Linked DNA regions of Arabidopsis thaliana. The protein of the gene in region 1 interacts with the protein of each later gene in a pairwise test. Each region holds a gene or a part of one and is shown in the gene's direction. Other genes may lie near its edges.

Region 1 (5,378 bases):
TAGTTCATCACTATCGGTGAAACATAAATTCATTATCCTAAAGACTAAACATAATTTTACTGCTAATAGAACACAACTATATAACAAAATCTAAATGAAAAGAAAAAAGCATACGCCAATTTGGAGAGCTCGAGACACAAAATTCGACTCCGGGAAGCTGATCTTTAACTGGAAATGGTGCAAAATCATCGGTCTTTGTTGCCATATCTCACTCGCTTCGAGAAGGGCTACTCTCTTTGTGATGAGAGCTGTAAATTCAAACTAAGGCTTTGCTTAAAACGGATTCAAAAGTGCTAAGTAATCGTTAGGCGGGCAACTTTGTTGACTCTTTCTTGCTTTTTTTACTTTCTGTCTTGTGTTCTCGTGCACGTAATTAACACTAATGCTATACGTAGAAAAATGAACCGGATTAAACCACTGGTGTGACTTAACCAGAATTGTCCACTTGTATATTCATGTGAAGAATATGATGTTTAATATTACAAAGTCTTTATAAGTAGCAAATTATTCTCATCTTAATGCCAAAAAAGTATACAACTAACTCCATCCACCACTTAAACATTCTCTTTAACCAATATCAAGAATTATAACTAATGACTAATTGGTATGACTTATTGTTGGCTTAATGAAAATAAGATAAAACAATAGGATTATCAGTTAAAAAATCCAGAAAGATTTAAGGAGGTTTATTTTGAAATAAATTTGATGAATTATTGTTGCTGACTTGAATTATTATCAAGTACATATTTCATATCATAAATAATTTTGGGCTCATGAGCTAAAAATGTTAATTTGGTAATTTAATAATTTATTTTGGATGGAACTAATTGCTAATGTTTTATTTTGACTGTAATTTGAAATTATTTGGACAATTATTAATTTAAACCCAAATATGAAATTAGTTTGTATTATAAAATCATAAATATCTAGGTGAAATTAGAGAAGGTTCTTTCTTTTTACTGAACATCTGCAGAAAATAAACCTAGTAAAACAAATCAACTAAAACTATGTTCAACGAACTTTTCTTTTTTTTACGAAATGATCTTTATATTTCAAATTTTGGAGAAATTCAAAAATAAATAAATTATAAAACTTTTTAATGTGTTTAAAACAAGTGTATAGATTTGGAAAACTCTCAAAATATCGCAACTACCATGTCCACAATTTTTTTTTAATTAGTGGTACAGTCAACTAGATAATTTTCAGAAAAAATAAACAATAGAGAAAATTCTATGGATAAAATGAAAATAGCATTTTTGAAAAAAAATATCACAACTACCACCCCACCACACATTTCTGAATTATATCTAGCAACATATTTGTATTTTATGTTCAAAATACCACTTAATCATCAAATTTTTAATCACCACCAAAACTTTCAAACATAAACCAAATTGTTCGTGTAAATATGATCTGGGTCACTGCGTATTAGTTTTGATAATATATTTTCTTGACAATCATATTAACACTTCATTTGGGGAATTTGATATTTTCTTTATCATTATTAAAAGTTGAATTTGTAAATATTTAGACAATTTATAATCTTCAGAATATAATAACTAGCGTAAACAAAAACGCGTTTTAAGGCCGTTTGTAAAAAACGCGTTTTAAGGCCGTTTGTGAAAAAACGCGTTTAAAGCTTAATTGGTCTAAGCGGTTTGCCGCATCAGAATTGACGGAGGTCCGTTACTCTGAATCCTTGTATTCGCATTAACCCTAACTTTTTCTGCTTCCCAAGCGTCTCGAAATCTGAATCCAGAGATTAAACAAAAATTGGTATTGCGAATGATCGATTCTTCTTCCTCTAAACTCTGATTCCTGGTGAATTCATCTGTTTCTTCTTTCTCGATTGTGTATATTCTCAGCATGAGATTAGGCTTCATTCTGAAAGAACGGATTTTTCTAGGGTTTGAGTTTCGGCATCTTTCAGTGATGTGAAGTTGGTGTTTGCTATTGCGTCTTAGTTTCTGAACTATTGCTGCGGTATAGTTTGATAATCTATGTTAGGGTTTCCTCGGAACAGGGAATTAGGGTTTTACTATTCTGTGGTATTTGATGATGAATTGTGAGCTACAACTGAAGAAAAAGTTTACATTTTTATGTAGAAACTTTAGTTCTGATTGGTTTCGTGACATTTGATATGTATTGTTGCAGAACGGACTTGCTTTGACACAGCAGACCGTAAATCGGGATGGGTGCTCCTAAGCAGAAATGGACTCAAGAAGAAGAGTCAGCTTTAAAGTCTGGAGTTATAAAGCATGGACCTGGTAAATGGCGCACAATTCTCAAAGATCCTGAATTTAGCGGAGTCTTGTACCTGCGTTCCAATGTTGATCTTAAGGTCATGATTACTTCTTATCCTTTTTGTCAGCTTTGATAATGCTACTGTATTTTGTTTGTGATTTTATCTGACTGGGAGATGGTTTGTTTATTGTATTGGGACAGGACAAATGGAGAAACATGAGTGTCATGGCAAATGGCTGGGGATCGCGCGAAAAGTCTAGGTTAGCTGTTAAAAGGACGTTCTCCCTTCCTAAACAGGAAGAGAACTCACTAGCCCTAACCAATTCTTTGCAAAGTGATGAAGAAAATGTGGATGCGACCTCTGGACTCCAAGTTTCTTCTAATCCTCCTCCAAGGAGACCTAATGTAAGGTTAGAAATGTGTCTATTTTGTTTCTTGTATTGAAGAGGAGTTGCTTTGTTGTATCTCTCTCGCTGGTATTTCTGAAGTTGGATTACATCTCAAAATGTATGGTTTGCCGTCACTTTTTATTCTGTGCAAGTCGATAAGTGTTGGATTACATTCATGTGATATGGGTTTGTTTTCACACCTCTGTTTAAGTTGTCTTCACTGGCTTAGTACATTTCTCCTCCTTCTTACTATTATCATGCGAGCCGTTTGCTCAATCCTATCACTGTGGCTTTATAATTGTGAAATTATGATGAGGATTTGTAAAGTCCCACTTACACGTAGATGTTTGTATCACTCAAATCTTTTATTATAGACAAATTGTAACTTTTAAAAACGTTGCAGGTTGGATAGCCTTATAATGGAAGCAATAGCTACCCTGAAAGAACCTGGTGGCTGTAACAAAACAACAATTGGTGCCTACATTGAGGTATTCTGTTTTCGTTCTTGCATCTTTTTTTTCTTTTCTCATAGACAATATGTATTATTAAATTGTTACTCTCAGCTAAATCGCATCGTGTTACATTTCAATTTGAATGATCCTCAGTGGGTTGATATGTTGTCAACTAGAACCTGTGAAGCATTGCGGATGAAAACCAAAATATAGCCTTTGGTTGTGTCAATAGAATATATTCCTCAATATCAATATAGGCAACGGATGTGGCAGTTTTATTGCAAGGCAATGGGTGACATCTTTATCTTCTCCTCTCCTGAATAGACGAATGTGCATTGAATATCCTGACTGAAACTAAGCTGAAAGGGCTAGAAATATTTCTGTAATTACGAGATTTATTGTGGTGGCATCTACTTAAGTCGATATAATTATGAGAATATCGTAAGAGTAGATTCTGTAGTTAATTCAGAAACACGCCAATGACATAAATATTTTCGTCTACTTATGTGATTCAAGCATGGGAAATATTGAGTTCAACTTGTACGATTACTGCTTTGAAGATTCTTTGTCTAAGTTCCTTGTAAAAGACTGATTTAGAGGACTGACTGTACCCGTGTTCCTTTTTTTTTTTTGTGTAGGATCAATATCATGCTCCACCAGACTTCAAACGCTTGTTGTCTACCAAGCTAAAGTACTTGACATCTTGCGGGAAACTTGTGAAGGTAAGAATTCCTACATTCATTTAATGCTTTTGAGTGCATATATTTTTGGTCTTTTGAATAGTATGTATGACTTTTTGTGCAAATCAATTTAGTTCATGGATGTCAGTAGAACAGAGACATATCCATTATTCACTGCAACTTGCGAGGTTTATTGATCTGGGCTTTCTCTTTTACAGGTTAAACGTAAGTACAGAATTCCAAACTCCACTCCCTTGTCTTCCCACAGGAGAAAAGGTCTGGGGGTGTTTGGAGGAAAACAGAGGACTTCTTCTTTGCCTTCACCTAAAACAGACATAGATGAAGTGAATTTTCAGACAAGGTCACAGATTGATACAGAGATAGCCAGAATGAAGAGTATGAACGTACATGAGGCGGCAGCAGTTGCAGCACAGGCAGTAGCAGAGGCAGAAGCTGCCATGGCAGAGGCTGAGGAAGCTGCAAAGGAAGCGGAGGCAGCAGAAGCCGAAGCAGAAGCAGCTCAAGCTTTCGCTGAGGAAGCTTCAAAGACATTGAAAGGAAGAAACATCTGCAAAATGGTAAAAAAAAGAAAAAAACACCCATATTCTTTTATATCACAAGACATTATATCTATGAGAGAACTTTGAAAATCTCAAAATGCTTTTGTTGAAAATGTGATTCGACAGATGATCCGTGCCTGAGGTAATGGAAAGCGAGAGAAGAAGGAGACTAAATGTGAAGAGAGAGTAGAGAGAAGCCTAGTGTTTGTGTTGATCATTCTCTTTACTTGGGAAGTTGTTTTTTAGTAGTAAGCAATCAAATATGTTTGTCAGTATGTCGTCGCTCTGACTCTTTTGATTCCTGCACAACTTTTGGGAAAAAATGTTTTATTTGGCTCTTCTCACTCTCCAATATACATACAACTATCGTTAGTAATGTGTATAATTTATAGACCGATCTATCTATGCACTATCATGCTTATCGCCAATGAGCATTTTGATTATGTATGTATTATCAATTAATAGTAGTACTGTTTTTTTAAGATATAAAAGCACAATGACTTTGGGACACTATATGGATCGTTTTCGGGTTCAGAAAAGGAATTAAATCCTTTTAAATCCCCTGTAAATCTTTTAAAAACTCTTGTAAATCTATTTTCTATTAAAATTATTTTTTCTGGGGAAAATGATCTTTTGGAAGAAAAAAAAGTTTGGCGGGAAAATTTTTGTCGGATTTTTTTGGTCGAAAAATTATCTTCGGAATAATTTTGATAGGAAAAATCATTATTATATTTTTTAAACCTAAAATATTTTCAAATAAGAGTAAAATGACCATAAAAAATCAAAAGATGGGATAAATGAAAATAAATTACAAAAAATGATAGAATTGAAAAGGAGTAGTTTGAAAGGGCATTCCTAACAATTTCTCCCGATTATATATGTAGTTGGGATTATTAGGTGATTGACAGATATATATATAATCATCCGAAATTTGACATACTAAAATAATTTGTAATCATTGATATTAAAAATAAAAAGACCATGGTATTTTTACTATAATTGTGATTCTGTAAAGAAAATAATACTATGCCACTCACAGTCACTGCATAGCCA
Region 2 (6,311 bases), on another chromosome or scaffold:
AAAAACCATTTCACTAGAAGACATAAACAAAGAAAAACAAATTAAGAGTTTATACTTTTGTTTTTTGTTCCTAAACTTTTGAAAGAATTAAGAGGAAAGATTTCTAAGTTGTATTTTTCTTGTACCTGAGATCAAGAGAAAGAAACCAAGTAGAAGAAGGAAAAAAAATAGTCAAAATTAAAAGCTATAAATCGGAGCTAAAGAAAGAACCAAGAAGAAGATGATGCATGATGATGATGATGAGATAGAAGATGATGATGAAGAAGAAGACACTATTCCTATATATTATGTATTATAATACAAACACAAACCTCAAAGCCCTATCTCTCTCTATCTCTATATCTCTTTCTCTCTCTACTGTTTTGTGTTCTTCTTCTTTTAAAAATAAGCCATATATGAAATGATCTTGAAAAGTATGTCTCTAAGGTCCCCTCTCTGTCTCTATCATTTTATTTTATTTCGATTAATATAAAATAAAGCTACTTTTTTTCTTTCTTATAATTTAATTTGACAGAATTAAGAAGGATGGTTACGGTTTGGGTGTCACTGTTAAAACGGTGAAATGTGTCCACATGCGGGGGTGTGTTGTGGGTACCACATTTTTCTCATTCGTATCTTTCTGGTGAGCTTTAAGACAAAACCCTCGTTTTCTCTTCATTTAACTTGATTAGGTTTTGTTGTACTAACTTTTTTTTAATTGTTTTTATCTAATAAAATCGTTTATAATATAACATATCGTATATTAATACACATGATACACCAATCAATAGAGAATTTTTTAAAATTTGTTAGATTCTTGTATGAAAATTAATATATTGCTTTTCTTCTTTGGTTCAATTCTTCAACCTTTCAGAATGTTCAATGCAAAACAATCGAACCGATTGGTTTTGAATCAAACCTAATTAATCCTGAACGAGTAACCAACTCTCAACCGATCTGAATAGATTTTAAAACGATATATCACAAAATCTCCAATATCACTTTAAGAGCTTTGAGAAAATATTATTGATATATTATTATTCGACCGTAAAGTTTGATTTTCTCCTTTTCACTTGGGCTTTTTAATCTTATACAATTTAGTTTTATTTTAGTTTACAAACGACAACATATTTAAGTAACAGGTGACTTCTCAACTTGATCCTCTCTTCATTACCATCGATGCTTTTTAAGTTATACTGAGATCGTACCAACTGCAATGGGTCAGTGCCGGGCCATATTCAATCAGGGCCTCCCTGATTGGGTTGTAATATGATTTCAAGTTAGTAATATGAAATAGCACACAGTCACGCACACAAAAGAGCCTATATAAGGAGAGATATACCACAAACAGCCCAAGACCCAGTTGTTTTAGATGAACCAAAATTGTATGGAAATATTTAGTATTTGAAACTGCCGTCACCAAGATGGCAAGGTCAGAGAAACTCAATAACAACTCTGTTTCTGCCATTCCGAGAGTTAATATTAATTTTCAGAGTTAATGGATTAGCTAGTAAACATATATATACAAATGATAATAACCTGTAGAATGAGGATTAAGATCGAGAACGACGAGGTTATCTTTACCGCAACATTCCAAACGTAGCCAAAGCTCTATTACCATACCCCTCAATGTACATATCCAGCTTATAAGACTCCTATCCAGTATCCACCATCCAACGAAACACACTCTCAGATTCTTCCACATTATGAATACATGTCAACCAAATAATTTCTCACCTCAACCATCATTTCAAAACCAAATCTTCAAGCAAACCCCATGGATTTAAAAACCCTTTTCAAGTGCGTCAAACAAACCACAAGCTTTTAGATTTGTCGAGAAAGTGAAGTCGTTGGGCCCATTTCTTCGGATCCCTTAAGTTCACCATTAAGTACTCATTAGAGCCCATTTCTTGGGGCCCATTAAGAGATTAAGTCCGCGCGCATAGCTTTTGGAGGATGCCGCTCTTTTGTAAGAAGCAACACGTTGTTGAGTCTCTAACCTTTCTTTGAAATCTTGACCTTTCCCTTCCTTCTCCGCTAAATTCGTTTTAATTTCATCTTCTTCTTCTTCTTCAATTCGATGCAATAATAGTCACTTCAATCTCAATCTAGGGTTTTCAATTTTCTTCATGTGAATTTTTTTTCCCCTTCTTCTCAATTTCAATTCAATCTGGGATTCGTAAATTCTCGGAAGATGAAACGCGATTTCGACGAAATCTCCGAGGAAGAGTGGTCTCAACACTCGTTTAACGCTTCGCGAGTTCTTAAACGACCACGGACTCCGAAGAAGACTCGCGCGGCGACGAATCCAACGCCGTCGATTGAGTCTTTTGCGTTTAGGAGACCTTCGACGGCGATGACGATTGAGAGTAATAGCAGCGATGGTGATTGTGTTGAGATTGAGGATTTGGGAGATTCGGATTCGGATGTGAAGATTGTGAATGGTGAGGATTTGTTGTTAGAGGATGAAGAAGAAGTGGAAGAGACTAAGGTTGTGATGCGCGCTGCGAGAGTTGGTAGGAGATTTGTGATTGAAGATGAAGAAGCGAGTGATGATGATGATGATGAGGCTGAGAGTAGTGCTAGTGAGGATGAATTTGGAGGAGGAGGAGGAGGAAGTGGAGGAAGGAGAGGAGAAGATGAAGATGTTGTGGGGAAGGCATTGCAAAAGTGTGCTAAAATCTCAGCGGATCTTCGAAAAGAGCTTTATGGTACTTCTTCTGGTGTTACTGATAGATACTCTGAAGTTGAAACTTCTACTGTCAGGATTGTCACACAGGTACTGGAAATTATCACTTTGGTGTTCTTAAAGTAGTTGCTTTGAGACGATTTAGAGTGTCTTCCTTATACAATTGTGAAGTAACTTTTGATTAGATAGCATATTTTGGTGGTAAGCTTTGATTGGTTTGGTTAGAGTTTACTGTTTTGTTAACTAAAACTTGTTTACTTTTGGGTTGAATCTGTGATGATCGCAGAATGATATTGATGATGCATGTAAAGCAGAGGATTCTGATTTTCAGCCTATACTCAAGCCGTACCAGTTAGTTGGTGTTAACTTTCTTCTTCTGTTGTATAAGAAAGGAATTGAAGGAGGTATGTGTTTTTACTAGTTTCGATCTGTAAACCTTTTTAGCGTGAATGTCACTTTGTAACTCACTTTCTATTGTTTGTAGCCATTTTAGCCGATGAGATGGGTCTTGGAAAGACCATTCAGGTGCATTTTGCTCTGTTATTACTGGATAAGTTTTCTTTGTTTCTTTATCTTATAAAGAACTAATTTTGTTCTCATTTACCTTAGGCAATCACATATTTAACCCTCCTAAGTCGCTTAAACAATGACCCTGGTCCTCATTTGGTTGTATGCCCTGCCTCTGTCTTGGAAAACTGGGAGAGAGAGCTCAGAAAATGGTGTCCGTCGTTTACTGTACTTCAATACCACGGAGCTGCGAGAGCAGCCTACTCAAGAGAATTGAATTCTTTGTCAAAAGCTGGGAAGCCACCACCATTCAATGTGCTTCTTGTGTGTTACTCTCTGTTTGAACGGCATAGGTGCAACTCTTGATGCTTTTATTTGCTTTTTGGCTTTTCCTGTTACTCACAGATGTTGGAATTTTACAGTGAACAACAGAAAGATGACCGAAAAGTACTGAAACGGTGGCGCTGGAGCTGTGTTTTGATGGATGAAGCCCATGCGTTAAAGGATAAGAATAGTTATAGGTGGAAAAACTTGATGTCTGTGGCCAGAAACGCAAACCAGCGTCTTATGCTTACAGGAACGCCTCTACAAAATGATTTGCATGTACGGTTGGTTTCTGTTGATTTTTTCAGGATCTAATTACCTAATATAGACGACATTTCTTCATGTGGTCATACAATGCTTATTCCCTGCATATGTTTGGTCTATGCAGGAACTATGGTCGCTGTTGGAGTTCATGTTGCCTGATATATTTACGACAGAGAATGTTGACTTGAAGAAGTTGTTGAATGCAGAAGATACTGAGTTGATTACTCGAATGAAATCTATCTTAGGTCCTTTCATCTTGAGGCGTTTAAAATCTGATGTCATGCAGCAACTTGTTCCGAAGATACAGCGGGTATGGATATATCTATGCACAATTAAGTACACGATATTAATCTTCTAGCTGCAAATCTCATTAATTTCCCATCAATCCAATGCAGGTTGAATATGTATTAATGGAGAGAAAGCAGGAAGATGCATATAAAGAAGCCATAGAGGAGTATCGTGCTGCTTCTCAAGCACGGCTTGTGAAGCTTTCATCAAAATCCTTGAATTCTTTAGCCAAGGCACTTCCAAAGCGTCAAATTTCAAACTATTTTACTCAATTCCGGAAGGTAATTCTCAGCTACTAATACAAAGCCCCTTTTGTGCCAAATGAGTGTGTTATTCATGTGTTATTAAATTTTGGTTGTACAGATTGCAAACCATCCATTGTTAATTAGGCGGATATACAGCGATGAGGATGTCATTCGCATCGCCAGGAAATTGCACCCAATCGGTGCATTTGGATTTGAATGTTCCTTGGATAGAGTTATCGAGGAAGTTAAGGGTTTCAACGATTTCCGTATCCACCAGGTAAATGTTTCTCTTTCCAAAAGCAGTTGAATATCCATTAACAAACATGTTATGCAATTGAAGAAGCTAACTAACTTGTTTCTTTCCATAGCTTTTGTTCCAATATGGAGTTAACGATACCAAAGGAACTCTCTCAGACAAACATGTCATGCTCTCAGCAAAATGTCGGGTACGTGATATTCTTCTTCATTTCATAAGTCTTCTTTGTGAAACTGATTAAGTATAACTAAACCTGTGAGCGATCTAAATCTCCCTTTATGTATCAGACATTAGCTGAGCTTCTCCCTTCAATGAAGAAATCCGGCCATCGTGTTCTAATATTTAGTCAATGGACATCGATGCTCGATATCTTAGAATGGACACTTGATGTCATCGGCGTTACATACCGAAGACTTGACGGCAGGTAATAAAAGAAAAAAGAGTAATTTGTCACATTTTTGACGATTCTACAAAAAGGAAGAAGCTTAAGTCATTTTCCTTTTGTTTTCAACAGTACTCAAGTTACAGATAGACAAACCATAGTCGACACATTCAACAACGATAAGTCGATATTCGCATGTCTCTTGTCAACTCGAGCAGGTGGACAAGGTCTTAATTTAACCGGAGCGGATACAGTCATTATTCACGATATGGATTTTAATCCACAGATTGATCGGCAAGCTGAAGATCGTTGCCATCGTATTGGTCAAACAAAACCAGTCACTATCTTCAGGTTTGAGCTTTAAATCCTTGAATCAGTTTAGATAACTTTCAGAACAAAATTGTGGTTTGGATTGGTTTATGTGTGCTCTGTTTTGTATTCTCACATATATCTGTATTAACTCTGGCAATGCTGGTGCAGACTGGTGACGAAATCGACGGTTGATGAGAACATCTACGAGATAGCGAAGCGGAAACTAGTTCTTGATGCGGCGGTTCTAGAGTCCGGAGTTCACGTAGATGACAACGGAGACACGCCTGAGAAAACCATGGGAGAGATTCTTGCTTCTCTTCTCATGGGATAACATTATTGTTACCTTTTTTGTTTTGAGGTAAAATTAGTCAAGAAACGAAGTTAATGTGTTATTCTAAACATGTGTAACCACTAGCTATTATTAGACTTAAATTTAATAGATCACGATAGTTATATTTTCTTCTACGCATGTAAATTATAACCCAAAAATTTCCTTCTTTAGACCTAAAAGTCACAATTGTTCCAAACACTAAAATGTGGATCAGTGATCAAATGAAGTGAACCTTCAGGATAGTTTAGTCTTCGATCATCAAAGATTGTATAAAGGAGTGACTTAGCTGTATTTGTAGGTATCAAAATTGAAAACCTCACGCAATGATTAAAGGTCTCAAGTATCTTTATTCGTCAGAGTTGTATAAGACACAAATCTCACTAGATTGTTTTCCCATTGTCTTTGCCGAAACCTAACAATGAACAACTAGTTCTATTAGGATTGGTTCAAGAATGTCACATAGTATAAGTTTTTCTTAGCTGAAAAATTCTAGATAACTTGGAATAAATTCTAGATAGTCTTTTTTTTTTGCTACATTTGAAGATAAATATCTATGAAAATGTTCAAATTCATGATTATATTATTGCGATTAAATAATTGAATATGACTATACAAAATAATTCACTAGTAAATCAAAGCCATACTAAGTTTGGATTCTTTGTGGTAACTGCCATTGCCAAGTCACGTTTTGAAGGTGTTCTCATGGTCAATTTACACTTAAAATTGAACCTGAA

The links. The genes of interacting proteins can lie anywhere in the genome.
Region 2: the proteins of TRB1 (region 1) and ETL1 interact in a two-hybrid assay, tested with the Arabidopsis thaliana proteins (one study listed by BioGRID).

What each region holds. Positions count from the first base shown.
Region 1 is NC_003070.9:18,493,527-18,498,904, reverse strand, and holds TRB1 (telomere repeat binding factor 1), read left to right. Parts: upstream 1-1,586; 5' UTR 1,587-1,776; exon of another isoform or gene 1,777-1,983; intron 1,984-2,154; 5' UTR 2,155-2,191; coding exon 2,192-2,341; intron 2,342-2,445; coding exon 2,446-2,654; intron 2,655-3,036; coding exon 3,037-3,121; intron 3,122-3,723; coding exon 3,724-3,807; intron 3,808-3,983; coding exon 3,984-4,343; intron 4,344-4,451; coding exon 4,452-4,466; 3' UTR 4,467-4,834; downstream 4,835-5,378. Other genes in the region: AT1G49960 (Xanthine/uracil permease family protein), read right to left, coding at 115-205. UniProt on the Arabidopsis thaliana protein: Binds preferentially double-stranded telomeric repeats.
Region 2 is NC_003071.7:521,308-527,618, forward strand, and holds ETL1 (SNF2 domain-containing protein / helicase domain-containing protein), read left to right. Parts: upstream 1-1,915; 5' UTR 1,916-2,173; coding exon 2,174-2,758; intron 2,759-2,954; coding exon 2,955-3,072; intron 3,073-3,152; coding exon 3,153-3,193; intron 3,194-3,277; coding exon 3,278-3,528; intron 3,529-3,597; coding exon 3,598-3,778; intron 3,779-3,887; coding exon 3,888-4,073; intron 4,074-4,158; coding exon 4,159-4,332; intron 4,333-4,414; coding exon 4,415-4,573; intron 4,574-4,664; coding exon 4,665-4,742; intron 4,743-4,839; coding exon 4,840-4,976; intron 4,977-5,066; coding exon 5,067-5,285; intron 5,286-5,414; coding exon 5,415-5,577; 3' UTR 5,578-5,761; downstream 5,762-6,311. UniProt on the Arabidopsis thaliana protein: DNA helicase that possesses intrinsic ATP-dependent nucleosome-remodeling activity and is both required for DNA repair and heterochromatin organization.